Linked DNA regions of Canis lupus familiaris. The protein of the gene in region 2 interacts with the protein of the main gene of each other region in a pairwise test. Links are inferred from orthologs where the notes say so. Each region holds a gene or a part of one and is shown on either strand. Other genes may lie near its edges.

Region 1 (10,316 bases), on a different chromosome or scaffold from region 2:
CACACGCTAGCTGGGCACATGCTAGGCCCCCATAACACGAGGGCTTGGCATAGGTGAAGTCCCCACATGTACCAGATATGGCTGTGTCAGCACACACCAGGCCTCCAGGTCACAAGCATGATGACTCAGCACGCGCTCAGCCCTTATACGCGAGACCCGCTGGTTTTAGCACACCCACAAAGACCCCACATATACACTAGGCAAGCAAGTCTTTGCTCACGCAAAGCCCTAATGCCCTGGACGTGATAGATTCAGTATGAGCAAAGCCTTTGTGTATCCTAATCCTGTCATTCTCCACGTGTCCTAAGCCCTCACCCATCTAGGAGGCATGCAGGTTACCACACCCCGAAGCCCTGCTTCTCCATCTCTACACACACCAAGCCCCGATGCACCAAGCGTGCCGGTCTCATTGTACTCCTCACTCCTCCGTGTACCAAACATGCAGGTGTTCACACATGCAGAACCCCCAGGGGGGGTCTCAAGCTTGTCAGTCTGCGCATCGCGGTAAGCCCACAGGTGCACACCAGGTCCGGCACACGCTAAACCCTCTGGAACATACCGGGCTTGTCCGTTCCTCTACGTGCTAAGCTTTCACGTGTACACCTGGGTGTGCCAGCCTGTGCGCACCCTAATCTCCCAGGAGCGTACAGGCGTGACCGATCCCCACATATGTCAGATTTCCAAAAAGATGCCACGCGTGCAGGCCTTTGTAATACTAAGCCTCCCTGGATGTAGCGGGCACGTGCCAGTCCCCCGTTATGTGCACGAGGCCTGCGCGGAGGCCAGGGTGGCAGGCGGATGGTGGGGCCCCGGGGACGTACCGGGCATGACGGTCTCCCCACAGGCAGAGCACTGCGACGAGAAGGCACTGCAGTAGCAGTCATTGCACAGCAGCTCGCTGTCCTGGCACGTGAAGGGCTCGTCGGCCAGGGAGCGCTGGCAGCGGCAGCAGCGGAAGCAGCCCTCATGGAAGTGGCGGTCCTCGTAGAACAGCTCCTGCAGGGAGCACGGCAGGGGCGATGGCACCTTTGCCCCTCTGCCAGCCTCCACCCACTCCTTGCCCAGTGTGCTCCAGCCCTTACCCTGGAGTCGTGCCCGATAAGCTGCTGGCACTCGGCACAGGTGTTGGCGAAGGTGCTGTCGTAGCAGGGCACACAGTAGGGGCCGTCGTCCGTCTGGATGTATTTGCGGCCATACAGGGACTCGCTGCATTTTGCACAGTCAAAGGCCTCGCTCATGGTGGCTGTGAGTGAGCCCTGCCAGGGGCAAAAGGTAGGGTGCGGGTCACCCAGAAGGGCTGTGGCTTGGCCCCCTGCAAAAGTCCTTTGCGATTAAAAAAAAAAAAAAAGAAAGAAAGAGCAAGAGACCAGGTCTGAGAAATGCCAGGTCAGGACAGGGGGCGATGGGGACAGGGTGCTTCTGGAAACCCAGGAGTCCTGCATGTTTATTTCTGTATTTAACAGTGGGGTGGGGTGGGGTGGGGGGAGAAGGGGTCAGGAAAAAATCAGGAAGCAGAAGTTGTTTTCTTATCTGGGCCCTGGCAGATCTGGGGGGAGGGGGCTTTTCCTGGGTCAGTGACTCATTTCCTGCCCCAGTCTGAGTTTAGCTTCCAGTGTCCCTACTGTCCCCATGGGGACGAGAGTAGGGGCAGGGAGCCACCCCACTCTGTATCCCGTAGGAACAGTACTCCCACCCTCTCCTGACTCCCAGGAAGGGGCCCCTAGGTATATGCAAAGAGGAACCTCGAGGGATGTGAATGGGCTGTGCCCGCCCTCTCCTGGTCCAGGAGCCAGCAGACTGCTGGAGGGCTGCTGGGCCATGAATGGTGGAGGTGGACGTCACCTCGGGCCTCCCTCCGGGAGAATCAGCCAGAGCAAGCACTTCAGAGGCTCAGCCTGGGTTTAAGCAGGAAGGAAATCCTGCAAGCTGGACACAGCCAAGCTTCCCCAGCTGGACCCTCTGCCCTCAGCCCCCTCCAGCCCCTGCTGGGTCTCTGGTCACACCAGCCTGGGCAGCCTCGGCCTGCAACATCTGCAGCAGCTGTGGCAGCACAGATGGCCAGATGTCAGGTCTGGCCAGCAACAGGGGAGGAAAAAAAGGGAACCTGAGACGCCTGGGGAGGGAGAGGGGAACTAAAAACATAGATGATGCAGCGTGTCCCCTGCCATCTCCAGGCAGCCATCACTCCTGGCAGAGCTTTGCAACCCCCTAGGTCATTATTTCCCTCCCCCTGCCTCTGGGAGAAACAGCCTCTCCCCAGCTTTTCCGGTTTCTGAGGGTTTGGGGTAGGGGGGGGAGTGGAGGGTGAGAGAGTGGGAGCCATGGAAGACATCTTCTCCCCAATCTGGCCCCCTCAAGTGGGGAGTCAGGCAGGGGGGAGCCCTGCGAGCTGCTGCTGCAGACACCCAGCCCCCACCAAACCTCAGACACTTTCCATTTTCTCAGGAACAAAGCATGTTTGCGGGATGAGGTCATCCACACAGCTGCCTCTGGAACAGGAGCAAGGGGACTGGGGGGGGGGGGGCAGGGAAGTGGGGTTCCCAGTCCCTTCTGCTGCCCCTGACTCCAGTTTCTGGCCCCAGATTCAGAGCTCCCACCCCCAGCCTCCTTCGTCATGAAGCCTGCTCTCTAAGGGCTGGGATCCCAGGGAGGGTGGAGAGGAACCACCAAGACTCCTAGGAAGGGGATGTTCTCACAGCTGCAGAGGAGCCTGGAGAGGACAAAGGAACCCACCAGCTCACTACCTCCCCCCCCACACACACCCCAGTAACTGGCAGTCCCCGGAGCCTGCCCAGGCTCGGGTTGATGGAAAAGTGCTCCTTTTCTCAGCCACCCCCAGTGGGAAATTCTGGCCAAGAAGCGTTGCTCTGGCTTGGAGTTCAGACTCCAGGCGCCAGCAAACGCCCCAAGCCTGGAGGGCCTGGCTCTTGAAGGGATGGTTTGTGAACTCCAAGCTGCCCTTCTGTACCACGGAGTGGGGGGAACACAGAGTTCCGATCCCGGGCCAGGCCACGAGGCCTCCAGGGGCTGGGGTCTTCAGAGAGGTGATTCTGGGGCAGGGCTATGCTGTGGGGTAGAGGGCAGCCCTCTTTCTCCATCCGCTCCCCGCCAATCAGGCCTGGGTTTCCTCTGGCCCAACATCTGAGGGTTGCCTGGGCTGTGGGCCACTGGGCAGCAGGGGGCCACACAGGTGGAGTGTGTGGCCGTGGTCCGTTGGGGAGTGCCCCAAATCTTTTCCTTCCTTTCTGGCTTGGCACACAGCAGCCATCACCTTCCCGGGCCCAGGGTAGCCCTGGGGCCACCCTCTGGGAGGCAGTCATCACTCTGAAACAGGGGCACCCCAAATAGGGTATGGGCATGGCTTCTGTTTCTTTCCCAGAATCCCCCAGTCCCCTAGTTTGTCCAGCTGGGCTCTAATGAGGACAGAGTGAAGGGCACTATGGAGACCCACCTGTCCCTGCCCATCCCCCTTCCTCCCCTCCCTCCCACTTTCCCTGGCACAGCAAGAGAACTGAAGAGAACCAGTCTTATATTCCCTCATGGCCTGGGGAGGGGGGGTTACGGAGGAGACTGCTCAGTCTGCCAAATGGCTCTCAACTCTTGTCCTCAACACACACACAAACACACACTCACACACACACCACCCCTACACCTGACACACACATCTGGCACCTTCCAGTGAGCCTCCCAGAGGTTAGAATGGCTAGATAAATGGCTGTGGCACAGTGTATAGTAGGCCCAAATGTGGCTTGGGGTGGGCATCCTGACTTCTTCCCTTACTAGCTGGGTGATCTTGGGCAAGTCACTTAAGGTTCCTGGGCCTGTTTTCCTCTACGCCTACCCCCTTCTCCCGGGGTTGTCGTCAGGCTGAAATGGTGGTGCTTGGAAAGCACCTGGCAGAAAGGGACTCCTCAGTGAATGGTAGCTGTGGGCGTTTTTATGATCAGCCCCTCACTCATACGGGGGTCAGACAAATTTCTGAGCCAGGCCTGGCTCAGGGAGCTGGCCTGGGTTTTGACCTGGACATTCTCAGGGTAGATTCAGGGATAGACCAAAGAGGGACCCCCACCCCCACTCCCCAGTTCCACTAGGGGAAGTGAAGAAGCCCAGGCCGTGGGGCTGCCTGAGGAGATCAGTGGGGCCGGCCTGGTGCCAATGAGCATAACTCCTGAGACCCCTCACACAGGTACACAGGTGTACACACCTGCATGCTGCTTGGCCTCCCATAAAGAGAAATCCCATCCACTATTTCACCAGATCTCCCAAAAGGCAGGCAGAAGAGCATGTCATTCCCATCTTACAGTCGAGCACAGGGACAAGCCAGGCCCAAGGTCACTCAGGCCTCGGAGAGCCCAGGTTCCCTGCTTCCCAGCCTGGAGCCCTTTCCTGTTTTTCTCTCTAAAAATGCTGCAGCGGTGGCAAAACGGGGTGGTCAACATTTTAAGAGCAGGGGTGTGGGAGATACTCGGTGACATCACTAGCACAGGAGTCTCACTCTTCTCCCCCAGCTGCTAACCCTGCCATTGGAAGGCACCCAGAAGCCTTTCCAACTGCCCATGCCAACCGTTCAACTCCTTTGCCCCCATCCACCCTGCACTGTCGGGGAGGACCCTGGCCAGGCCTCACAGCTGTGAGTCAGGATCAGATCAGACCCCTCCTCCCAGCTCCCAGGAACTGACAGGAGATTTAAGGGGAGAAACCTAACCCCCCCCAGCCCCCAACCTCCGGTATCAGGCACCAACCCCAAACTCTCCCTCTCCCCACCCCTCCCCGCCATGGGGCCTGGGAGTCAGAGCAGTTTAGGGGAAGGAGGGCGGGAAGCGGGATCCAGCAGCTGCCTTGGGGACAGGAGAGGAACAGTTCATTCACCCCGGGTCCCCCAGGGCTGAAGCAGCATGTCCATGATTTGAGTTTAAAAATAAGTTGGGGCTGTCTTGGTGTGTGCCTGGGGCTCCTTTCCGACGTGCCTGTCTCAGGTCCTTGCCTCACGGGGCTCTGGCTGGCCCAGAGTCTCTGTTTCCCCGCACCCCTGCTTCCCAGTCTTTCTCAGGCCTCCGTGTCTCGGGGTCTGTCTGGGAAGCTGTCAGGGCGCCTCGAGCAAAGCCAGCTGCGCCCCACGCAGCGCGACTGAGCCTCTGCACACCTCAGCTGTCTTCGTGTTTTGGGGACCTGTGTCCCGGGCTAGTGACCTCTGCTCATTTCTACCTCTGTACACCCAAATCTCCGTAACTGAGTGCCTCCAAGGGGTTCCCACCCCGACCCCTTCGCTTCCTCCTCGGAGCACCTCTGTTCCTGAGCGTCCCTGTCTGCAGTTTCTGGACGGCTCCATAGGCCTCACAGAGGCTGATCTGCCACAGGGCTAAGGAAGCTTAGGCTTCGGGGCCCCTCACCGCCCGGGACCCTGCAAAGCCCTGGGAAGGGCGCTGCTCCGTGTTCACCGGGGTCAGGGGACGCTTCTCCTTCGAGTGCTCCAACCCACAAAACCTAGGTCCGTCCAGACGCCTCCGGTCTCCCTCTCGGGGACTCTACGCCCCCAGAACCTGTCCCTGACTCCCTGACTCGGGTCCCCGTGCAGCCCCCTGTCCAAGCCTGCCGCGCGGGCCCGCGTCTTGGTCTGGCTCCGCCCGGCTTTCAGGGAGCCTCAGTTTCCCCAACCCTCCAGGTCCCGCGCTCGACTCTGGCTTCTCCGTTTCAAACTTGGCCCCTTCCCCCCCCATCCCCAGGTGTCGAGCAGCCCCCCCCACCCCGCCGGGCGGCCGGGATCGGGGCGGTCCCGGGGGTGGGGGGGCGCCCTCCGGGGCTCGGCGCCCCCCGCTCCAAGCGCGCCCCCCGGGGCGTCGGGGGGCCCCGGGCGAGGAGCCGGCCTGGGCGGGAGCTCACCTCGGAGCGGGCGGCGGGAGCGGGGAGGCCGGGCCGCGCGTCCCTCGGTGGCTCGTACCTGCGGGCCGGGCGAGCGGGGCCGGGCGGGGCGGGCGGGGCGAGCGGGGCGAGCGGGGCGAGCGGGCGGCCGGCGGCGCTGCCGGAGCGCACGGACCCAGCGGGCGAGTGGAGCGCGGCCCCAACCCCTCCCCGAGGAAGTGCGCGCCGGGCCCGCCCCGCCCGGACCCCGCCCCCGGCCGCCCCCGCCCCGCACCCCCAGGCCGGGGGCCAGACCCCGCCCACACCCCCCCTCGGGCCCGCGGGTCTAACCTGGCTCGCCCGACCTTCCCCGGCGCCGGGACCCCGCCCCCGTCCCCTGCTCGCCTCCGCCGTCCCCTCCCCTGCTGCACCCCCTGCACCCCCCAGCAGCCCGCTGGAGACGGCCTGCTGCACTCGATCTCCAGCACGGGGGCCGGCACCCAGCCCACCCAAGTCCCCTGGGGTCCTCACTCATGGCCTCTTCGTGCGCCCCCACTCCCACCTTCCAGCTCATCCCCTCAGGGTCACACCTAGACCCAGCTTGTAAAGGGGCCTTAATCAAGCCTGGAGGCCCGGGAGTGTGTGTGTGTGAGGTGGCTTGACTCTGCTGTCACGGCCCTCCCTATCAATGGGAACCAAGGTGTTCTCTGGAAACAGGGAGTGAAGAAGGGACCCCCCCACCTCCGCCTCCGCCTGACCCCAGACTGGGCCTTGACCTTCAATGATTTCACAACTTTTGAGTGGCAAAAACAGAAGTACCCCCCACCTCCTCACCTCCGGAGGCACCCTGGGACAGAGAAGTTCGGCCTTGGGTTTCCACAGTGCCCAGGAATAGTTATGACCTTTGAGGCCCAGGGGAGACCCTAATCCTTGGCCCCATGGTTTTTGGGTTTCTCAGGGAGGGGTGTGAAGAGTGTGCGCGGATGGGGCACCGCAGGGTTGGTGGAGGGAAGTGGAGGGAACCCTTCCTCCCCCACCTCTACAGTTTCCAATCCTCTGGCTTTCTCCCTGCGCCCCAGGAGGGAGGACTGCTGCCTGCCAGGGACACAAGGCCCCTCCAGGTCCTTGGGCCAATCCCCCTGGGATCCTCAGGCTTGTCACTAGGCATAAATAGCCTCGATCTAGAAGGGTGGGGAAGGGAGGAGGAGGCTGTGCTGTACTGTTTGCAAAACAGGAGACAACAAACTGACTCTAGAAATAACCTCAGCATCTAGAGTAGAGACTCAGGTGCCACAGGGCTTCTCCCATCCCCCAGGCTGGGTCTAGCCAAGCTCTCAGAACAGAGACTCATTTGCTCCCAGGCCAGGCCTCCTGAATACCTTCCTCTCCCATCTCTAAATCATATTCCTGTCTTCCCGGATCCCAAGTCACCGTCGAGGCCAGGTTTCCTCCCCAAATTAAACTATTTGCTTGGTTATTGTTCCTAATGCCTAGATTGTCATGAGGCCATGAGGGCAGGACTGGGTTCTTCTTGTTCACTACCACATTCCCAGTACCTACTCCTATGTCTGCCATATAATAAATATTGAACGAATGAATGAATGACAGACGCTGCTTCAGTTTCAACTCCTCCCCACCCCAGTTTGGACCTCAGGTACCTGCTACCTGGAGTCCAGGGAGTGACCAGCCAGCGCATGGGTGAGCCTTTCTCTGGCCTTTGTCATCTAGGTGTAGGAGGCTCCTTGCCTTGGGAAGGGCTCTGAGGTGAGGGGAGAGCAAAGATGAGCAGCTTTCAGAGAGGGAGGGGTATGACTAAGGAAGCTGCTGGATCAAAGGTAGAGTTGGGGTCTCTAGTGTTTCCTCATGGCTTGTATCTCTGCTGAACAGCCTTAATAGGAGCCAGCATTTCCCAAGTTCTTTGCACCAGTCCCTGCCTAAGCACGTTGCATACACTAATGCACTTGACTATCCAACAACTGTATGAAATGTGTATTCTTATCCTTATTTTAAAGATGAAAAAAAAAGGAAATACAGAGAGAGTAAGTAACCTGCCAAGGGCAACACAGCTAATAACAGCAAAGCCTGGATTCAAATCCAGACAGTCAAATGTCAAAGCTCCTTATGCCAAAAAGAGCTTAACTGGCCAGACCTGCAGCCTCTTTAGTCACTCAACCTCTTTACCCCTCCGGCTGCTCATCGGTTAAGAGTGGTTGACTCCCTGACTCACAGCATTCTCGCGAATATTGGAGGAGAGTATACAACAGGTATTGAATATGTGGGATTTGCTTTGCCCCAATACATTCCCTTTCACGGTCAAGTGTTAAGGTTCTGCTGCTTGGATTGGAGGTTAGAGAAAATTAGATTTCTGGCTTGGCCTAGCCTGGGGGAGGGACACTGGTATAGGGCAGGGGCTATGTCCTTTCCCCTTCCCATTTGTAGCTCCCCAGTGGGTTCACATTTCCATTGGCCCAGGATGACTACGTGCCTTAGGGAGGTCTAGGGATCAGCCACATGGACTCCCTGTTCCTGTTTCCCATCAGGCCTCCCCCGCCCTCTGGGGAACAGGTGTGTCCGAGCTGGGGCTGGAAGAAGAGCCTGATTGCTGGATGACTAGCCTTGGGTGAGTGGGCTCTGGGTTCCCCTTCCACCACCCAGGAGGCCCCTATACACCTTTCCTTATCTTGTGGTGGAAGGGAGCTTGCTCAGGGTCTCCTGGCTATTCTTTCAACCTGGAAGCGTTTTTTAAAAGGAGGCCCTGGGTGACAACTGACAGGCCTCTTATGGTTTCCTCTGGGTGCTGAATCACTCCCTGATGCTTGTGATCACAAGCCTTCCTTTCCCCAGTGAGAAGACTTCCTTCCTTCTCTGGGCGTATTGCCTGCTCTTACCCATTGGGCTGCCTGGAGCCCCTGCCAGGACTCATGGCTTAGCAGACACCCTCTTTCAGATTGCCCAGGAACACTATTCTCGTGACCCCAAGCCTGGCAATGCTCCATGGGTGTAGAAGGTGAAGTAAGCGACTTCCATAGAGTATGCAGGGTCGGGGGGTGGGGGGGTGGGAGGGGAGGTGAGCGGAAGAGCTAAATGCTGACTACATGCGGGCCATTATGCCAAGTGCTAGCCTTGGCCTCCTTGGGTTCTCACAGAAGCTATATGGGTTGGTTATATTATTACCACTATATGATAGAGTAGGATGTGGCACTCAGGGAATTTGACAATGTGGCCCCAAATCCAAGCTGATAGTGGTGCATATGCGGTTCAAATCCAAGGCTGATTCCTGGGTCCCGTTAACCGGGCTGAGGCTGGAGTGGTGGGCCAAATCAGGAAGGGCCTTGTCTTTCAGTGGTTACGTCACGAATGAAGTAGACGCTTGTTCATGTCTGGGACCCTTTGCACATGACACATCTCAGCTACTTTCAGCTTTGTCATGCCCACCCATCTACTGGAATGGCACCTCCTGGGACTGAGGAGAGGATTTCCTCAGAGCGCTTCAGCTGTAGGGCCGAGACCTGTCATGACAGGGTGCACAGAACCTGCTTAGGGTTAGCTTCATGTGATGGAAAAGAAACCAGATGCCCCTGAATGCTCCGCTGTACGGGCCCCTCTATCCTTACCGGTAGGTTTAGCAATGACAACCACAACCATTGCTCCCATTGATTGTGAACTTGTTTAAGGGCTGAGCACGGCATTAAGCACTTTAAACATATTAGTTCCTTTAATCCCTTACAACAATTCTGTGGGTGTAGCATTATTACTACCGTTTTATAGATGGGGAGACTGAGGTGCATTGGAGCTAATTTTGTCGTGGTGGGTGGCAGTTTAGGATCAGAACACACCTCTATGGTTTTTGGCCCTAATATATTGTACTGCCTCTGACACTCGTCCTCCCAGCTAGCCATTTCCCTGAGGGTGTGAAGGGCTCCAATTTTATCACTACTGCTAGGATAGAACTCCTCCATTCTACTGTGAGCCTCTTGACTGTCCCTGTGATGCAAGCAGAGCACACTATCATTATCCTTGTTTTATGGTCGAGAAAAATGATGCTCATTAAAGAGACCTGTCTACAGTCACACGGCCAGTAAGTGGCAGAGCCAAACATGGCTTTTAAGGCCTCCTGACTCTAGGGTGCTCTTTCCGGTGCAGGGTAACATTGACACGACTCCACCTTTAACCGCACCGCGCAAATAGAGCAAGGGGAGTAGGGCGGCAGGGGCCCGCGCATGCGCACACTCCACGCGCAGCTCAGCCCGAGGGCAGTGCCAGCCACGTGTTCTCAGGTGCCAACGCGGAGCCGAGCGCGAAAACGAGATCTCGGTACACGTGCCCAAGCTCTGGCGAATGAGAACGGACTCTCGCAGAGTCACGGGATTAGACCTAGGAAACTACACTTCCCAGAGGCAGCTTCGGGGCTGGACGCCTCTGCCGGAGGACGAAGTTCCGGAAAGGCAGGCGCCGGATAGGCTGCGCGGAGGAAGTGG
Region 2 (10,316 bases):
CTCCGCCCCGGGTTAACCCCGACTGCGCCGGGCCGGCCGCGGGGCAGACACGTGGGAACGAAGCCCCCCTCCTCCGCGCCCCGGCCCTGGACCTGCCTCCCTCTCCGCGCGGCTGCGGGAACTAGGACTCCGGCCACTTTCTAGTGCCGTTCCCTCGCGGTTCTCGGCCCCTGGAACCACCTGCCCCCTTGCCTTGGCCAGGGGCAGCCTTTCGCGGGAGGGGGATGGAAGAAGAGCCAGGAGATTGGCCGCTGCTCTGCATCCTGGGAACTGGAGTCCGCAAATGGAGAAAGTGAGGCACGGCGCCTGGCGCTGCAATGGGTGGGTTCTTGCCACGTTCGGGGGCCCAGAGGAGAGCGGGACGAGTCCCCAGCCGTTCCTTCTGGCTCTGCAACCCCCTCGTGGGGAAAGAAGAGTCAGTGCCCCCACAGTCGCCACACGCACCTCCCCCATCAAAACATAAATGTGGAGTTTCCTTCCTTTCCCGGGTGCTCCCGCTCCCCCCCCCCACCCTCAGTCTTTCTCTCGGGACCTCCAGGGCCTGTGTCCCCTTTTTTAGTAAACAGAGAGGACGTACCTTGGAGCCCTCCTGCTACCTGGCCGGAGTGCTGTTACTCTAGCCAACATCCCAAAACACTACTTACAGGCGTTCCCCCATCGACCCCCATAAAGTCTGGGTGAGAAGGGACTGGAATGCCTTTTCTGCATCAGCTGTAACCGCGGACGAACAGGAGGAGACAAATTAACTATGTGCTAGATACTTTATACATTCTTAGTTATTCCTCACCCTCTTTATGAACTATGTGGAATTAAGTCTGTGATGGTGAGATCGAGGCAAAATGAAATAGGTAAAATTTCCCAGTGAACCACATCGAGTGACATCCATGATTCAAACCAATGGCCATGTTTTTCCTAAGATAGATATATATATATAAAATAACGTTATTTTAAGGAGGATGTGGAGAAAGAGGCAAATCAGGGACGGGGGCTGGCTTTGTGGGAAAGGGTTTACAATGTTGTCCGATAGAATTTTCTGCAATAATGGAAATGCACTACAGCTACACTGTCTAATTTGGCTTAGCTGCATGTAGCTGTTGAACACTTTGAAATGTAGATGGTGCAACTGAGGAACTTTTTAACGTTAATACTAAAACTTAAGTAGCCATATGTGGCCTCCATATTGGACAGTGCAGAAAACCTAAATCCCTACCAGCCAGGTTCATAGGAGGGATCAGAAATAGGCAATAGCCTGTGCTAGCCCATGCTAGCATCACGTACCCTGCCTGCACTGACCATTCAGGTTTATTTCAACAAAAAGTCCAGCAGTGACCCCACACCTGTCTCAGCTATACTAAATAACCAAGACAAGGGACACCTGGGTGGCTCAGCGGTTGAGCATCTGCCTTCAGCTCAGGGCGTGATCCCAGGATCTGGGATCAAGTCCCGCATCAAGCTCCCTGTGAGGAGCCTGCTTCTCCCTCTGCCTGTGTCCCTGCCTCTGTGTGTGTCTCATGAATGAATAAATATTTTAATTAATTAACCAAGACAAGAGTTGGAAAATAGGGATACCTGGCTTGGCTCAGTCAGAGCATGTGATTGTTTATCTCAGGATTGTTAAGTTTGAGTCCCATGTTGGGTATAGGTATTACTTAAAATAAAATCTTTAAAAATAAACCTTTTTACAAAGTTGGAAAATGTTAGGTCTCTCCCTACCTTCTACATCCAGAAATGAGGAGGCTGACCTTCACCAAAAAGACCTCCAATAGCACTATAGCCACCATTTAAGAGTTTATTATGACTGTTCTAAGCATTTCATATATCACCTCAATTTAATTCTCACCTCAACTCTGTGAAGGTTGAACTATACTTCATAAATAAGAAACTGAGGCTTAGAGAGGGTAAGGGACTATACAAGGTCACACAGCTAAGTGGAAAAGTATTCCAACCTAGCCATTAACTAATATTCATTCTTCTATCAGGCCTTTAAGATTGTTTGATACACTTTTAGAAAATTTCAAACAAGACTTGTCTTAGACCTCATGGAAATGGCAGCAGGGCAATAGATAGCCTGTGATGAGTATTTCAGGTAAGATGTGGAAAAGGACCCGATCTTAATGTAAGAAAAAAGAGGGTGGTGACAACCCTAAAGAGAATCCCAAACTACTGAGATTGCTGTTTGGATAATGCCCCTTCCAACAGCTCTTATTTTTTAGATTCTAGTTAGATATGCAAAAGCAGCTGGCAGCACTTTTGAAGACCGGCAGGACAATCTCCCCAACTGTAAGCCCAACTAGCCTAGAGTCAGGCACTGGCAAGGTCACAGCTAAGACTTTGCCCATCCTCCCCATCCTCCCACCTCAGGCTCCCTCAGGTAGCAAGAGAAGTCTGTGTCTCCCTATGAAGGATACACTATTCCAGCAACCCTTATAGGTCCTTAGAGGAGGTATTGGCCAGTTAGGCCCTAGGTCTGGTAGGGGTGGAGGGTGAGCAGGAAAAGCGGAGGCAGATAGGACCAACCCTACCTAGCTGAAATGTCTGCTCCTACTGGGATGGCTGGTCAATAAGAAAGAATAGAAGTAGGGGTGCCTGGGTGGCTCAGTCAGTTGAGCAGCCGGCTCTTAATTTTGGCTTTAGCCATGACCTCAAGGTCATGAGATAGAGCTCCCAGAATCTACTTGAGTTTCTTTCTCTGCCCCTCCCTTCCCTGGGCTCAGGCATACTCTCATCCTCTCTAATATAAATCTTTAAAAAAAAGAGAAGCATTACCCTTTGACATCTAAAAAAGTGGCACAATTCCAAAGATGTAAAGGGTATGAAGAGGTCACCAATGGTAGGAAAAGACCAAATATCCATTTAATGAAAGGCTCTGAGGACATGGGGAGCAGGATTGATATACACCAGGGGCATTATTTCTTATTTTACTCAACTCTCTTCGAAAGCCAAAATCCTCACCAACACTTTAGTCCCTGCCTCTACACTCCTTCTCAGTTATTACATCCCTATGATGAGGAGTTTCCTTCCTCCCCAAACCTTAGCCTCTCTGAGCGCCAGCCAGGGAATGCCAAAGCCCCAGGAGGGAAGCTGGGTCAGCATGTGGAAGCTGGCCACTAGAGGGTGGTGTTTCTGTAGTTAAGGGGATCTTGAGTCTACAATCTTGGATGGGAGTGGCAGCCAACTGGTACCTGCATAGGAGAGCCTAGCAAAAAGGTGGGAAAAAGTAAGTAGTAAGTCTTCAGATAATGGTCCTCCTGAATGAGTGAGGAGTAAGGAATAGGAATAAGGTAGAATGCAAGAGCCCTGATTCCCCACCAAAAGTCATAGTCACCACTCCTTGGAAAAATAGATACTGGCCCCAAGCATTCCCCACATACAGAAGTCAACCACAAAAAGATTTCTCAGTTTATTTGCATATATACATTGTCACACTAGGGAGCCAGCTCCACTTCAGGAGTCCCCAGCTCCCTTCACCCAGCCAACACCCAAAACCTGCACAGAAGACTGAGTCCTAAATAAGCAATGCTTAGGACTCATATGCCAATCTTGCAAGTTATAACAATTCATTTAGCAAAAACAGAGGACTAGAGGCCAGTGCCCATGAGACATCCTTGCCCCATTGTAAACATTGACAACCAGGCCACTGGAGCCTGGAATAGTGTGCAAACATGAGGGTACCACACTGTGCGACCAGAGGACTGGGGACACAGCTGGCAACCATACCCGTGAAGTCCTAAGGGCCTACACCCGCTGGAGCCTGGCAAGTGCCAGGGGCAGAATCAAGGCAGCTACCCAATGCCTGAGGGCTCACATGAGCCGGCAGCGGCGCTCTTGCCCATAGGAATTCTCTACCCGAGCAATCTCCTGTATGACTTTGGTGAAGATGCCTCGGGTAAGCTGCAAGGACAAAGATTCGGGCAAAAAAGTCAGTTCATTGCCAATACGACCCAGCTCAGAGGTGTAAACCCCACTCCCCCACCATCCCCACCACCAAGCAGTGCCATAAGAAAAACACTACTACCCTGATCTTGCCCCTAATCTTCAGCCCAAGCACCTGATTCTCTCGAGCAGATGACTCCATAAACGTTGCACCCCAGGACTCTGCCAGCTTCTTCCCTTCAACTGCCTGCACCTCCCTAGAAGCAAATTGGGGATATGAAGATGGAGGATAGCAATGTCCCCATGTTCTCTACAAAATCGTTATATAGAATCTAGACTTCTTCTGACCCAACCCACTTCCAAGGTTTGGGAGGTGGGTTGGGGAAGGAGAAAATAAAAGAGAACCCAGAAGTCTCAGACTGAGGCTAAATATGAAAGTATAGCTTTTGCAATAGAAGGGTTATCTTGTCTTAACCTTCAAGTTAGAAGCGAAAGGAGGTGAGACAATTTGTTCAAGTCCGCGGCAGAGCCAGGACTAGAACCCGACTGGCTGCTAGTCCATCTCACTTCCCTTTGCCTTGAGCCATAGAGATCTCCTTACCTGTCTGGAGAGAGATCGGCCTTATTCCCCACTAGCACCACTGGCAGCCTGTGAAGAAATACGAGTTACTACAGGATACCCTCCGCTCCACATGGAACCCAACTCCCCTCGCATCAGGGCTGGACAATTCTCCCAGCAGGCCGGATAGGCTCTGAGCTGGCCTCCTCTGTAACTTGGACCCTCCCCTCTCTTCCGTCCCGTCATGTCCACACTGTGTGTCTGCTTCCCAGGGCCACTTACCGTGTTTTCCCATGGCCTTCGTGTAGCTTTTGGTACAGGCTCGCGATGACTTGGAAGCTTTAAACACAAGGAATAGAACCATAAATTTATTCTGGGACAGCCCTCAGATCCTCCCAAGTCCCCACCTCAATGTTGGTCACTTACCTGTGCAGAGAGGTAACAGAGTACACAAGCACATAACCGTGGACCCCAATGATGAAGGAATAGGGCAGGATGCTGTACTCGTCCTGACGAGAAACACAAACATCAACACTAACCACGCAGCGCTCAGATGCCAAAAGGCTGGTGGGCTGCGTCCTGGGGACCCTCTCTGGGGCACTTCCTCCTGCAGTCATTTCCGTTTGACCAAGTACGTACAGAGTAGCTCCCATGTGCACGGCACGTTACCAGCTGCTAAGATGCTTTCCTTTTAATACTACTTTACAGATGAGCCACAGAGGCAACCAGACTTCCTCTCCCCCGACTGGACTGCCGCGTTTAGATACTCTACCCCAAGTTTAGATACCCTACCCCAAACTGGTACCTGCCCTGCTGTATCCACCAGGTGTAGGTGAAACTCATCTTTGCCAAGAGTCACTATCTTGCTGTAAGCTGAAAAGAAAAAGAAAACTTGACTATGAGTTGCCTTGTAGGGCTAGCAATGTGTGCCCCGATATGTTCTGAACCCTAGGGATAACTCTGATGGACCAGCTCTAGGCGGCTCTCCAGGCAGCTGGAGAGACAACCTTCAGGTTCTTTTTGTCTAGTCGACACCATCCTGGATGCAGTATCCTGCAAAACCCATACTCTAGCTCCACTAACAGGATTGCTACAGAAGAGATTAGATCTAATGGCTAATTAAATCAGCCCCTTGGGACCAGAAAAATCCCAAATTATGGAATTGGGTGGGGCAACAAAGACCTCCCTGCCCCACCCCTAGGGGAGAAATCTACTCACTGTTCTCCACTGTAGGATCATAGCCTTCCAGGAACTCGCCCTCCACAAACTGATGTGCCAAAGATGTCTTCCCTGTGGGAAGCAGCGGTAGTTGTAGCCAAATCATCCAACCACATTCACATCCTCTGTCCTTTCGGGCTGTGGCCCAGGACTAAAGAGGACCACACGAGCAGCCCAGCCTGCGGGTGCCATGCAATGTTTTTCCTTAGCCCACCCTCACTCTCTCTTCGCCTTGGGTCTCTGCACCCTAGCCACCGGATGCATTCAGCAGCGCCGCAGGAAGCCTTTCCTGCCGCCTTTCCCCACCCCACCCCCGGGAAGATCCGGGATTCCCCTAGGATCAAGTCTGCCCCGCACCCGGACACCTGAGACGGGCCCCGCACAGACCGCGCCCCCCCCCCCCCGCCCGCCCCGCTCAGCATCAAATCCTGACCCCATCCCCACCCCTCCCAGGGTAACGCTGGGGGTCACTCTGTGTTCCTGCAACCAAGCCCGCGTTAACCCTTGCACGCTCCTACTTCCTTCAGCCCTCCACACGCCGCCACCACCCCAGCCTTTCCTCCTCCATCCTTTCAGTCCTCGCCCTACAACCCCGTTCTAACGATGCCACCATTCCTCTCTGGGTCGCGTTCCCGCGACAGCGCGCCTCCTCTGGCCACAAAGCCGCGGTGCGTCCGCGCTCTCCCCGAGGCGGAGACTCACCTACAGAGCGGTACCCGAGGATGACCACCTTCCTGTAGCGAACTAGCGGCATGGCAGGAGCCGGCCCCGAGGGGCTTGCCGAGCTGCGGGCTGCAGGAGCCCCAGGAGGAGGAGATCAGGGGGTGAGGCAGGCGCAGCAACCGGCCCAGGAAAGTCGCTCACTCCGGAGCTGCCAGGGACCTGCTAGAGGGAAACCAAAACAAGCGCCGCGCCCGGAGCTGGCCACGTGATCACAACACAGCAAGACTAACGCGAGGGAGCCGGGCGCCGGGGGATCTACAGTGCCGCGCGCTCCGGGCTCCGCCCCCCAGGCCGCTCGCCATTGGCTCGTTAGAAAGGACGAGGGCGGGGCCGCCCGCGGGAGGGAAGGGTGGGCCTCACGTGGAGCCGGAGAACGCGGAGCTGCGCCTGCGCAGACTAGAGCCGGTTCATTCATAAAGAAACAGAAAGGAACTCGGGGTCCTAGAGGTGTTTGCGCATTTTCAACCTCGCAGAAGTGGCTGCGAAGAATCATGCATGGAAAAATACCCGTTGTGGCGGGGCGGGAATTTCTGGTCAGAAGATTCTAGGCTGCCCTTTTGCGAGGTCTCTGCAGTCCTTGGAGAGGGAAGAAAAGGCCCAAGTTCCGCTCTATTACCTCTGCTTCCCCCAGATTTCGGCCCCAGATCTTTTTTATTGTTTCCACAGATTTCACAGTCTACCAGGATTTTTTATTGTTTCCACAGATTTCCACAGTCTACCAGGATTTTCGGAAATGCGATTGTTATTCGTGAGGAAGTCGTCAGAATGTTTGGCCAGGTCGTCTGAAGTTTGGTTACCATCATCATAATCAATGCATTCATTTATTCAACAAATATTTATCATGCAGGTACTGTATGCTGCAGGCATTGTTCCAGCTTAGGGGATAGAGCAACGAACGCGACAGACAAGGTCTCTGTGCTCACAAAGCTTAAAACGTAGTTAGAAGAGACAAACATATAAACAAGGAAATATTAGATGGTATTGAGCGCTATAAAATGTGGTAAAATAAGAGATGACCGCATTAGATTGAGTAATACTTCCTCTCAAAGGAATCCCTATTTAAACTGAGGTCTGAAAGACAGAAAGGAGCTAGCTAGAACTAAATTCTGGCAGAAGAATCCATCAGGGCTGTGCGTGCTGCGATGAAAATAAATTCGTTAAATTCTAGGAGAAAGGGAGAGAAGAGTTTATGTCAGCCTAAAGCAGATCAAGTCTAAGATGATGGCAGAGGGCCAGGCCTTGCAAAGTTTGGGTATCCAAAAAGCAGCAGATGATTTGAATATCTGAATTGTGTTTCTGAAAGGTTTCCCTGGTTTATGGGCTCCTGGGTGGTTCAGTGGTATCCCAGGTCTGGGGATCGAGTCCCACATCCAGCTTCTCATGGGGAGCCTGCTTCTCCATTGGCCTATGTCTCTGCCCTCTCTGTGTGTCTCTCATGAATAAATAAATAAAATCTTTTAAAAAATAAAGGATTTCCCTGGTTAAAAAAAAAAAAAAGAAAAAACAACCTCTCTGTGAAGAATGAAGCTGACGGGAGCAAGAGGAAAAGCTGGGAGATCAGCTAAGAGCCTTACTTGTAGTCCAGGTGAGAGGGAAAGGGGGCTGGAGTAGGCTGGTAGAGATGAATGAAGTAGATAGAGAATTCCAGGTATGTTTTGAGGCTGAGGTCAAAATGACTTGCTAAAGGACTGAATATAGGAGGTGAGGGAGGGAAAAAGAAGAAAGAAAACAACAGCTAGATTTATGGTGTTCTACTTTGTGCCAGGTGCATTGCATTATTATGTTATTTAATATTCATAACAGCCCTAAAGTTGATAATTGGTATTATTTATCCATTCATCAACAAATATTTATCAAACAACAATCATGTCCATTCTAGATGCTGGAAATAGAGCAATAAACAACACAGACAAGGTCTTTGCTCATAAGGAGCAAATATTCTTTTGGGAGAAGACCAATAATCTACAAATAAACAATAAATAAGCTATAATAAAAAATAAAAGTAATCACTGCAAGGGGGGAATAACAAGGTATTAATGGGCTAGAGAGTGATGGGGTATGGTACTCCGTTTATATGATATCTTGAGGAGTGACATTTGTACCTGAGACTTGATGATGGGTAGCTATTACGACTCTAATTTTACAGATGTGAAAGCTGAGGCTTAGCCATATAGATAGCACACAGAAGTTATTTCTTCTGAAAGGGCCTGTTGAAGTCTCAGGTAAGTTAGATTGTACTAGAGGAGAAGTGCTTTTTTTTTTTAAGATTTATTTATTTATTCATAAGAGACACAGAGAGAGTGAGGCCGAGACATAGGCAGAAGGAGAAGCAGGCTCCATGCAGGGAGCCCAATGTGGGACTGGATCCTGGATCCTGGGATCAGGCCCTGAGCCGAAGGCAGACACTCAACCACTGAGCCACCCAGGCATCCCAAGAGAACAGGCTTTGTATAACTGTGGAACTATCTAATGCTTTACAAAGTCAAATCTACAAAACTTGTTTCAAAGAGCCACTTACTCTGGCCTCTGAAAGGGACCCAAATGCCTTTTCAACTGGGTAAAGGAAGTTCCTTGCAGATTAGCAATTTTATGTTGAATTATTTGGCTTGAGTGAGCTTGGTGGAGATTTCAGATTGAGTCTTAAGCACTACAGGGTAGAACAAAGAACTGGATTTAATAAATTCAACAAAAATTTGTTCATCTCCTGCTTTGTACCAGATACTCTCACCACGTGTTAGCACAGTATGGGTATAAAGATAAATGAGATGCCTTTTATGCTGTTTGTCTTTCCAGATTAACTCTCTATTCTTTTCCACCCAGATTGGTTTCCAGGAGGCAGACCTTGCTGCCTGCATCCCAGCAGAATTCAGTCTAAGGGAAACCCTCACAGAAGCTCAGATGGAGTGGGGAGAGTATCTGTAACCCCCACTGAAGGTCCTAGCACCCTCACATCACCCCCCATACACACACACCCATACACACTCCCTCTTGTTCTGTTTTCTGGTTGCTCCCTCCCCTTCAGGCCTACATGGGTAACAGCTGCTCTGATACTCACCCTAGGGTATTACTTTACCCCTGTGGTTTTCCTACACCCTGTTCGCACCTTTGTAAATATTCTCTTTATTAAATCATCCTCAAATTCTCTTGCTTTCAATCAGGAAGAAAGGAATAGGACTAAGACAAAGGGCTTCCTCCTCTCGTGGCTTTTTCTTTTTATACAGGAGAGAAGATCTCACAGCAGATTTTCACCTACATTTCCTTAAACCGAACTATTATATGGCCATCTCAAGCTGCAAGAGAGCCTGGAAAAAATTTTTTTTTAAGATTTTATTTATTTATTCATGAGAAACATGGAGAGAGAGACAGAGGGAGAAGCAGGCTCCATACAGGGAGCCCGACATGGGACTCGATCCTAGGTCCTAGGTCCCCAGGATCATGCCCCAGGCTGAAGGCAGGCACTTAACCGCTGAGCCACCCAGGGATCCCTGAGAGCCTGGAAATTTTAACGTTTTCTTTTCTACCCTCTATAATAAAGGAAGGTTAAGAGAAGGTGATTAGGAATAAATGTTCAGGGAGCCAATCTACAAGACCTGCACACCTCAGGACCAAGATATGTGTTTATTAAATATCAATCACCTTAAAGAGTAATGCATCATTGGTTACTTTGTAAAGATCACAGATATACACAGGTCATGAATATAGAATCAACTAAGGAAAGTAAACTATCCTAATGGCAGGTAAATGGGCTTGGAATAAAATTTCTAGGGATGGCATCATATATTTTGCTATGTCTCAAACAACTGAGACAAAATAAAGATTAAATACTCCCAGAAAACTGTTTTAAGTATCTCCTTGAGAAGTGAAAACATTTTTACTATGTTTGTATCAAAAGTATGGGTTCTGGGGCGCCTGCGTGGCTCAGTCAGTTAAGTGACCAACTCTT
Region 3 (10,316 bases), on a different chromosome or scaffold from region 2:
AGTGTGCCAGCCGGGAGAGCCGCGTGTGCACGAGAGGACAAGGCAGGGACAGAGGCAGTGCCCGGGAAGGGGGTTAGATAGAGGTGGAACGTGAGCCTGGGGACCTTCTAGGCCACAGTTCAGGTGATGAAGCTGTTTACAAGTAAGGAGGGCTTGGAAACTTGAGGAAACGAAGGAGCACCTGTAGAGACAGTCTTACAAGGCATGCTGGTGTGCTGGTGTGGCTGTACTCTGGGCACCACTGCCTACATCCAACAGGGGCTGGGCCGTAGCCACTGCAGAGCCAAGGGCAGGTAAGGGGTGGCCAAGGAGATGCACTCACAAACCGAGACCGGGGACCTGTCCAGGGAGGTAGGTGGTCAAGGCAGGTGAAGTCCACGTGCATCCATGACTCTGGCTACTGGAAGGTCATCCACCAGTGACTGTGCCAGACAGCGCAGGGCTGAGGTGCGACCAGCACAAGGCACTAAAGAGGGACCGGCCCCACTAGGAGGGGGCCATGAAGAAAGGATGTCACTGAGGGACGGTGCAGAGGCAGGGCCTCCCCTGGCCACCCCCAATTCCCTCTTTTCCTGGTGAAACAGGAGAAGGCAGCTGAGCAGCATACAGGCCCAAAGAGCCTCCGTGCAAAGTGTTATTTCACTCCACAGCCGCCCCCAGATAGCAGCACTCTCCTCTGCGGAGCGGTCCTGGCAAAGTGACCCTGCCAGTTCTCATCCTGCCTACACTAGAATTTCACTAAGCAGAGACACTTTCTTTTATTGCTTTCTACGTATAAAACAAAGATACTATGGTTTAAAATAAAAGATTTTTAAAAAGATTTTACTTATTTATTCACGAGAGAGACCGAGAGAGGCAGAGACGCAGGCAGAGGGAGAAGCAGGGTCCCAGCAGGAAGCCCAATGCAGGACTCGATCCCAGGACTCCAGGATCATGCCCTGATGCACCACTGACTGAGGCACCCAGGAGCCCCTAAATGTTGGTTTTTTAGTGAAACTTTAAGAGCGGGACCTCTTTCCTTTAGCCTCCAATGATGAGTAAGAAAACTGTAGTTTATTCAGAGTAAAATAAACAGGGGTGTCTGGGTGGCGCAGTCAGGTGGAGTGTCCAACTCTTGGTTTCAGCGCAGGCTGTGATCTCAGGTCGTCCCAGGGTCGTGGGATCAAGTCTCTGCTGGGGTCTCCCTCTGCCCCCCCTCCTGCTCCTCCCACCACTCACTCACATGCTCTCTCTCTCAAAAAAAAAAAAAAAAAAGAAAAAAAGAAAAAAGTACAATAAACCACCAAGTGACACCCACTACTTGTTTCCTTCCCATCCATATGAATCACATCATGGTTCTGCAGGCAAATTTGAGGCTGGGCACCGTGAGTTCGCTGTACCGGACTCACACACAGCACCGGTAAATATGTTTACTGAATGAATCTTAACAACAAACTTGTATTTCGAAAGGCAAGAAACATAATGTCACTAAAAATGTGTTTCTGGACAGTGTGAGCTTAGTGACGTCATCCTGAGTTTGGAGTTCAAGCAGACCAGCCTTCAGGCATGGTCTGGTGCCTTCCTGGGAGGCTCTCAAGCTCCTGCAGCTCAAGTCCTTGCAAAGGGAGGGGTGGCCATCAGGAGCGTGGCCAGGTGATGGCCGTCCCGCGGCTCTGGGGCCTTCCTCCAACTCTGGGCCGCCCGACAGTGTCCTTCCTCTGAACAGCCTCCGTCTGCCAAAGCTTCTCCTAACATGGGCTACATGGCTTCTCATCTCAAGCCCTTCCACAACAGTCTCATCTATTTCACCCGTGTCACACCTGGTAGGGAATCTGTGATCCACTACAATCCTGTGTATTTTTTATAAAACTGAAATGAAACTAGGGGTCTACTCTATTTTCTCTATTTAAAAAAGATTCACTTTGAAAATAGAGAAACAGAATGGAAAAACCACTGCCATGTGTCCAGCCCCGTATTTTTAAGTGAACTCTAACCCCAATGCGTGATCTTGATCAAGGCCCCAAGATCAAGAGCGCCCGCTCCACTGACTGAGCCGGCCAGGTGCTCCAGCCCAGTATTTTTTAAACAAGTTACAGAACTTAAAAATATACAACAATCAAATAAAATCAATAGGAGTGTCTTGTAGTGAAAAGTCCTTCCCTTTCCCCAGGCCCACACACTCACGTGTGAGGAAGTCATGTTTGCCCTCCTTTCTCCAGCTGACATCATTAGCAAATGCCCACAGTATTTAGAAAATCATTTTTCTACATGATTTCTAAAATAATTTTTTAGCAGCCAAATAATACACTATCGGGTGAAGCAGACATTCCCGATTCAAATCCCAACTGTCCATTTCGCAGCCTGAACAAGTGACCTGGTGTACCTGCCTCAGGGATGTGAAGGTCACACGGGGGTTACCTGCTCATGATCTAGAGATTACAGTCGTCACGCTGCTGTCCTATCACCGACCCTTTCACTGCTTCCAGCTCTGCTGAGAAATCACAGCAAATGTCCCGTGGAGCAGAAGAGTCCTCTTTAGGACTGGAGAGCTGGGCTACTGAGTTCTAAGGCCTTTCATGCGATGCCCAATTGCTTCCAGAAGTGTGTCAGTATTAACCCTCTCGGCACCACTGCAGTAAATTCCTTCCCTCTGACGTATGAGAAACGGCAGCATGCTACTTCAACGTGTGCATCTCTGAAGCTTACTTAACCACTAGGATCTCTTTTTTTTAGGTTCTTTGCCTCTCTACCCATGGGAGTCCTCTTTTTTTTTTTTTTTTTTAAAGATTTATTTATTTATTCAGAGAGAGAGAGAGAGAGAGAGAGAGAGGCAGAGACACAGGCAGAGGGAGAAGCAGGCTCCATGAAGGGAGCCCAACGTGGGACTCAATCCCAGGTCTCCAAGATCATGCCCTGGGCCGAAGGTGGCGCTAAACCACTGAGCCACCCGGGCTGCCCGCCTACACGTTTTATAAGCACACCTCCTTTTCCTTCAACAAGTCACTGACCAAGCTGTGCAGCCGTCCTTCATCATATGCCACTAAATCTGTTTCCAAGTCGACAGGACTCACGCAAATCACTAAGGCAAGAAGGGCAGCACAAGGCCACCGGTCCAACCTTTCCCACAGAGCTCCTCCAGCTAAGAACCCACCCAGGAAGCTGGGGAGCATGTTCTGGACTGTCAATTGGCACAATGTATTTTAGTTCCAAAGAGTCCATTTTTAGGTAATTCACGTCGAAGCCTCAAAAATACTGCGCAATGACTTTATTTTCCCAAGCTGTCTGCCTGATTAGCAACTTCTGTAACGTGAATGACGAGGTCACTGATAACAGTGGCTAATGACTCCTGCCTGTGTTACCTGCCACGTGACAGGAAGTGGTCCAGAAGCCTGTTATGCTAATTCTATCCTCACGACTATCAATGGGTTAGGCACTACTACCCCTTTCTTGCAGACAGTAAAGTGAGGCACAGAGACAAGTTATGTAGGATCACACGGGGAGCACGTAGCAGACACCAGCACTCCATGCTGCCCCTCATAGCCTGCTGCTAGCTCCAAGGTCACTGCACCCAGAAACACAAAGCCATAGCAAACATACACAAGTTCCTGGCGCGTATGAGATACCTCATTTGACTGCACGTCACCTCCAGAAAGATTCAATTTACTTTATGCAACTTAAGAATGATCCCTTAAAATCATTTCCAAAAAGTTCCATGTCTATTTGTCTCATATACAATTTTCTTGAATGTATGATCCTGAATCAATGATGTCACCGAGGTTTTGCAGATCTTAAACTATTTGCATGGGTTTTTTTTTTTAACATGCAAAAATTAAAAGTCCCATTTATTCTTCCCCATCGTGGGGTTTAAGTTAACAGCGAGCTGTGACAAACTGTTCCTGCAAAATGGTAAGACAGCTCAGAGGTACACAGCCTCTCCCTGAGGCTGTGCATAAAATCAGATTTTAAATAGGAAACTTTGTTATTACCACTCTACCAAGCTCCAGACATCTGTAAAATCATTAAGCTTACCTCCCATGTTTTCAGGGCAGCTCAAAACTAATACAGCATGAGGTGGTGGCCTCATGATGGTTGGCACCATCAAAGCATCAAGTCAACACACCACATTCCCGGAGAAACAATCTAATCAAGTCCAGCCTAAACGGTGGAACTTTTACTCACTTTAAAACAGCTGGGGTATCCAAACAGGGCTCGAGACAGGATGAGGAAGATCCCCCACTATCTGCCATTTCTGCAGAGGGAGATTTTTAGATAGTTAAGTTGTTCTTTATACTAAAACTTTAAATTTCAAAAATTCCTGTTGAGCTCAAGAAGGACTTCCAGAATTATAAACTCATGTTTTGCCTTTACACAGAAGAAAATAAAACAATTATCTTGTGATGAGTTTCAAGTTTGCATTTCTAATAACTGTACTATATAATATTAAAAGTTTATTAAAACAGAAATCCAAATTTTTGGACCAAAGAAAAAGTACCTTAAAGATAAAACAAAGACAAATACTCAAAGTGAGCCCAACTAAACTGTTCTTATCAGTAGGTTCGATCCCAGAGTGCGTTCCTCAGTGATCCCGCAGTCCAGCCTACAGCTGACACACAGGGATGGGAAAAGAACAAACAACTTGCTGAAAGTCCCTAAGAGCTCAGGTTAACACAAAATCTGTCTCCCAAAGAAGAGCGTCTTGCTGGGTTTTGCCTGGGTATGAAGAGCCAAAGGAGCCTCCCGTCTCTAACCATCCTGACCCTGCACCGAGGGCAGCAGGAGCTGGTCACCACCTGGTGTTTATGCCCCCACATGCCCCGCACAATTCAGAACACACACCCTACGTTATTTCAAGGTCAACAGAGCAGCAATGGTGTTTCTCAGGAAAGTGCTTGGAGGTGGTTCTTCACTGACCACAGCAGTGTCTGCTTTTGACGCGACAAACTGGCGCCGCAGCTCTCCCGAGCTCCCCAGGCACCTCCTCAGGCTCCCCAAGAAGAGAAAGGGAACGGCCAGTCTCCCAGCACCCTTACTCTGATCCCGAACTCTGCCAAGTGGTTTTTGGAAGCCACTTCAGAATTCCCAGGGCAGCTTTTGGGCAGAGCTGTGTGTGGACCTCACCCCAGACCTGCAGAACGAGAACCTCGGAGGTGCACCTGAGCAAGTCTTCCAAGCGATCCTCACGTGACTGACCGGAAAGACGGCCTCCACAGTTCCACGGTTCCCAGTGCTACCACCCGGCCTCGCTTGGCTTCTCCCGCCACACAGGAGATCAGAAAAAGTAGCAGTGGAAGGTCAGATAGTTGTTAGTGAACTAACCTCAATGTGGGGTCCTGCTCTGACCCCCGAGACTTCGCCTTTCCCAGACACATCTGTCCCTACACCTGTTACCATGTACTGAGCTATCTTAAGCCCTTCTTCCTCTGAAAGAAATCATGGCTTTAATGTTTCCATTACTCTTGACCTCTCCTTATTTACGGAATATCAGTAAGTAATCTATGAATTGGCTACAACTACACATCCAAATGAAAGTTCTCCTGAAATGAGCCCACAGAGCCCACAGGAGAGCACCAGGTGCTGCTGGTTCTGGAACTGCCAACAGAGCCTCCGACAAGCCAGGGTGCCAGCATGGTGACCCAGACTGGGTCCAACCAGGCAAGTCTCCCAGAGCACGTCTGAGCTAGGAGTGCACTTAGGGCACAAAGACCGGGATGGAGAACAGGCTTTCCTTCCCCTGACAGGCACGACTGCCTCCCACACACAGGGAGCAAAGCACCAAAAACTGGCAATCCTGTGCAGCTACCTGGCTAAAATGGCGTTCCACGAAGTCCCTAGGTGTGCTGCTCCCAGCTCCGTGGAGGTGGCACCATGAACCCCTTCAAAACCTGGAGACCAGGGACACACTGCTCCCACGGAAGGACCGTAGCCTCGGGGCACAGGGTCAGGCCCCCTGAGCCCGCCGCACCCTACCCTCTGAGGCCTGGAGCCTCCACGCGGGGGTCAGGCCCTTGGACCCTGCTGCGCCTCTGCAGCCTGGAGGAAGAGGAGGACCTGCACGCGGTCACCTCACTCCAACCCTGCAGCCACCTAGCAAACGGGGCAAACCAAAGACCACAGCTTCCTAGGCTGACGCTGGGCGGGGGGCTGTGTTACCTTCTCCGCGATGCTGTACAGCACCTCGTCCATCTTCATACACGTGGGGTCCCAGTCGTGTCCAAAGCGGATGACGACCACGCGGTCCTCCTCCGACAGGATGGCCTGATCCACCTGCCAGCCGTTGTGCAGGTGTGGGAGCATGTACGACATCTCGGGGCGGCTCCGGGTACACCTGCGGGCACACCTGCGGGAACTGTGCGCACCGGCTCCTTGCGGCCGACTGCGGGCAAGGGCTGCACGTCGCACCCGCCCGCGCCCCTGGGTCCCACAGCAGACCTCACCCCCCCGACCCCTGGAAGAGGGACGGCACTGAGGGGACGCCCTGCAGACCCAGTCCCCGGTGCGGAGGCCCCGGGGTCGCCCCCATCCGTGCCCCTCGGTCCCGCCGCGGGGAGGGCCTGGGACCCCCGCAGACCTTGCCCCCGGCCCCCGGCCCCGGCCCCGGCCCCTGTCAAGCTCTACCCCTGGAAGGAGAACGGGGCCGCGAGGACGCCCCGCAGACGCCAGCCCCTGCCTCCCTCGCCCCCGCTCCCCGCTCCGTCCGCCCGCACCTCAGCCGACCGCAGCCTCCCGCGCGGCAGCCCTTCCCGGCGGGGACGCGAGCCGGTCGGTGCGTGCGCGTGGCCGCCGACGCGAGCGTGAGCGTGCGCGTGGCCGCCGACGCGAGCGTGAGCGTGAGCGTGCGCGTGGCCGCCCGACGTAAGCGTGAGCGTGCGCGTGCGCGTGCGCGTGGCCGCCCGACGTAAGCGTGAGCGTGCGCGTGCGCGTGCGCGTGCGCGTGGCCGCCGACGAGGGGCCGCGCGCGCCCGGCGCCGGGAGGGAGGGACACCGAGCCGGGGCTCCCGTGTGCGCCCGGGCGGTGCGGCCGGTGGCCCCCGGACCCCGCGGGGTCGGTCTCCTGAGGTGTCGCCGCGGTCACGGGGGGCCCGGCTTTGCCGCCTGATTCTCAGCCCCAGTCAGGCCCCTCGGAGCGACCCAGCTTCTCCGCGGCGCCCCCGTGCCCTGGGGGTGTGACGAGGGCAGCCGGCCGAGCGGAGCTGCGAGGTGCGGTTCGGGTCCCGGCGGGGAGCAGCGCTGGGAGCCGGGGGACGGGGCCGGCACACGGGACAGGCCGAGGACCGTGACGTGACGGGCTGGGGAAGGCCCGTCCTGCTCACCGCACAGCCGTCCCCGGGGCGGTCAGGGCAGACTAGGCCCCGCTGTGCGGTCGCCGCGTCAGCAGAAGACCAGCTAAGGTGTGGGTCACCGTGTGAAACACGCACGGCCCTTGTCGCCCGTCGCCCCGTCCGCCTCCGGGCGCGTCCTTTTTGTCAAGAAGCTGACGGAGGATCCCCCACGTCCTGTGGGGTCCTCGCGCTGCAGCCCCGGGGGGTCGTAGAAGCGCCACTGCGGTCTCCGTTGGGGCAGCTCCCGTCCTGCTGGGGGGAGGCCCGAGCGCGGTCGGCTGGTCGTCCCCACTCCCCGCGGTCCCTGAGCCCCGGCGACCGCGGACTCCCGCCCGCCTCCCTGCCCCCGCCTGCCCCGGGCAGTTCGTGCGAGCGGAGACCGACCGGGACATCGCCCGGGACTGCCTTCTCCAGGCCGCGCTGTCCGCGGGCGTCAGGATTCGGTCCTCGGTGCTGGTTACCACTTCATCATACGCATGTGTGCATTTTTTTATTTTTATTTTTTATACATTTATTTTTTGTTGGTGTTCAATTTGTCGACATCTAGAATAACACCCCGTGCCCGTCCCGTCAGGTGCCCCCTCAGGGCCCGTCACCCAGTGTGTGCATTTCATTTATCCATCGTCTGACATTTGGCTGTTTCCACTTTCTGGCCGTCGTGCATATGCTGCTGTGAACATCTGGATTTGTGTTTGTGTGGACTTAGGTTTTCGCTTCCCTAAGAGTATATGAGTGGAAAGCCGGGGTCACGCGATAACCGTGTTTAACATTTTATGGAATACGAACTGTTTTCAAGAATGGCTGCAGCTTTATTGTATTTATTCAAGAGAGCACGTGCATGCCCCCAAGTCGTAGGGTAGGGGAGCGGCGGAGGGGTGGGGCGGGGAGGCGGGGCAGGGGAAGCCGGCTTCCCACCGAGCAGGCCCTGCGGGGACTCCAAACCCCGGACCCAGAGACCGCGACCTGAGCTTAGCCAAAAGGCGGAAGGCGGACGTTGACCTACTGAGCCACCCAGATGCCTCGTGGCTACACCTTCTAACATTCCCAACAGCAAAGCGTGAGAGGTTTGATCCCTCCACATCTTTGCCTACACTTGTTATTTGTGTATTTTTTATTACAGCCTTGTGGTAGATGTGCCCTGATACTGTGATTTTGACTTGCATTTCCGTGATGGTTAACAATATACAGAGCATCCTCTCACATACTTATCCCCCACTTGGAGAAATATCTGTACATATCCTTTGCCCATTTAAAAAAAGTTATCTTTATTATTGAGTTTTAAGAGTTTCATTAGATATATGATTTTAAAATATTTCTTCCCATTCTGTTGACCACACTTCTTATTGGCATCATTTGCAGCCCAAAAGTTTTAAATTTTCATTATGTCCAGTTCATCATTTCCTTTTGTTGCTGTGGTGTTGTATGTTTCGGTGTCATATCTAAGAAACCATTACCTCATTCAATGTTGTGAATGCTTACTCCTGCTTTCTTCTAAGAATTTTTAACTTCTTTTTTTTTTTAAACAACTTTTTTTTTTTTTTTTTTCTAAGTAAGCTTTAGGCCCAGTGTGGGACTTGAACTCATGAGTTGCATGCTCCACAGACTGAGCCAGCCAGGCACCTCCATTAACTTTCACATTTGGGTCTTTGATCACTGTGAGTGAACTTCTGTGTATGTGGGTGCTAGGTGTCCACCATCATTCTCTGCATATTTAGACATCCACTTGTTCTGACGCCGTTTATTGGGAATATTTTTCTTTCCCTATCAGAGTGTCCTGGCACCCTTGATGGAAATCAGTTGATTTTGTTTTTTGTTTGTTTGTTTTGGTTTGGTTTGGTTCCGTTTGTTTTTGTTTTGTTTTGTTTTTTTTTAAATCAGTTGATTTTGAATGTAAGGATTTATTTCTGGATTCTCAGTTCTATCCCACTGATATGTATGTAGGTATGTATGTAGCCTAATGTAGGTACCACACTTTCTTGATACAGCTTTGTGTAGGTCTTGAAATTAGGAAGTATGAGCCCTCCACCTTTATTCCTTTTCATGATTGGTTTGGCTATTCTGGGTCCCTTGTATTTGCATATGAACTTTAGGATTAGCTTGTCAATTTCTGCAAAAAAGGCAGCTGGGATTTTGACAGGGACTGTGTTGACTCTTCACCAATTTAGGGAGTACTGTGCTGCCATCTTAATGTTGAGTCGTCAGTGGGTGAAGGATGTCTTTCCATTTGCTTAGGTCTTTATTTCTATGACTTTTATATTTTCCAGTGTTCACGTCTTGTGTTTTTTTTAGGGAGGGAAGTTAAATTAATTCCTAAATATTTTATTCTTTTTTGATGATATTTAAATGGAATTGTTGACGTGCCTGGATGGCTCAGTAGATTAAGCCTCTGACTCTTGATTTTGGCTCAGGTCATGATCTCAGGATCCTCGGATGGAGCACCACATTGGGCTTTGTGCTCAGCAGGGAATGTGCTTGAGGATTCTCTCCTCCTCCTCTGTTCCTCTTCTGTCTCTCTAAAATAAATAAATAAATCTTAAACATAAATAAATAAATGGGATTGTTGTTTTAAATATTTTTAGATTATTTGTAACTAGTGTATAGAAATACGGTTGATCTTTGGATACTGATCTTGCATTCTGCAATCTTGCTGAATCATTCATTACTTGGAATAGTTTTTTAGTTGGATACTTAGGATTTTCTATATACAAGATCATGTCATCTGCAAATAGGGACAGTTTTACTACTTTTATAGTCTGGATGCTTTTCATTGTGTTTTTGCCTACCTGCTCTGTTGAATAGAAGTGGCAAGAGAGACTTGTTCCTCATCTTAGAGGGAAAGCATTCAGATTTTATTTGTTTTATTTATTTATTTTAATAATGAATTAATTTTTTATTGGTGTTCAATTTGCCAACATACAGAATAACACCCAGTGCTCATCCCGTCAAGTGCCCCCCTCAGTGCCCGTCACCCATTCACCCCCACCCCCTGCCCTCCGCCCCTTCCACCACCCCTAGTTC

The links.
Region 1: the proteins of RHEBL1 (region 2) and FHL3 interact in binary tests that used the Homo sapiens proteins (3 or more experiments, as listed by UniProt). The two-hybrid records come from large-scale screens. The link is inferred for Canis lupus familiaris from reciprocal best matches to the Homo sapiens genes RHEBL1 and FHL3.
Region 3: the proteins of RHEBL1 (region 2) and TXNL4A interact in a two-hybrid assay, tested with the Homo sapiens proteins (2 studies listed by BioGRID and IntAct). The link is inferred for Canis lupus familiaris from reciprocal best matches to the Homo sapiens genes RHEBL1 and TXNL4A.

What each region holds. Positions count from the first base shown.
Region 1 is NC_049236.1:4,650,444-4,660,759, reverse strand, and holds the start of FHL3 (four and a half LIM domains protein 3), read right to left. Parts: upstream 5,968-10,316; 5' UTR 5,881-5,967; intron 1,324-5,880; exon of another isoform or gene 1,257-1,323; 5' UTR 1,239-1,256; coding exon 1,083-1,238; intron 997-1,082; coding exon 822-996; intron 1-821. UniProt on the Homo sapiens protein: Recruited by SOX15 to FOXK1 promoters where it acts as a transcriptional coactivator of FOXK1.
Region 2 is NC_049248.1:41,133,632-41,143,947, forward strand, and holds RHEBL1 (GTPase RhebL1), read right to left. Parts: upstream 6,645-10,316; 5' UTR 6,405-6,644; coding exon 6,353-6,404; intron 5,723-6,352; coding exon 5,651-5,722; intron 5,306-5,650; coding exon 5,238-5,305; intron 4,942-5,237; coding exon 4,859-4,941; intron 4,772-4,858; coding exon 4,715-4,771; intron 4,523-4,714; coding exon 4,475-4,522; intron 4,131-4,474; coding exon 4,016-4,130; intron 3,892-4,015; coding exon 3,802-3,891; 3' UTR 3,377-3,801; downstream 1-3,376.
Region 3 is NC_049222.1:686,195-696,510, reverse strand, and holds the start of TXNL4A (thioredoxin-like protein 4A), read right to left. Parts: upstream 6,796-10,316; 5' UTR 6,684-6,795; intron 6,326-6,683; exon of another isoform or gene 6,317-6,325; 5' UTR 6,283-6,316; coding exon 6,130-6,282; intron 4,229-6,129; exon of another isoform or gene 4,159-4,228; intron 1-4,158. UniProt on the Homo sapiens protein: Plays a role in pre-mRNA splicing as component of the U5 snRNP and U4/U6-U5 tri-snRNP complexes that are involved in spliceosome assembly, and as component of the precatalytic spliceosome (spliceosome B complex).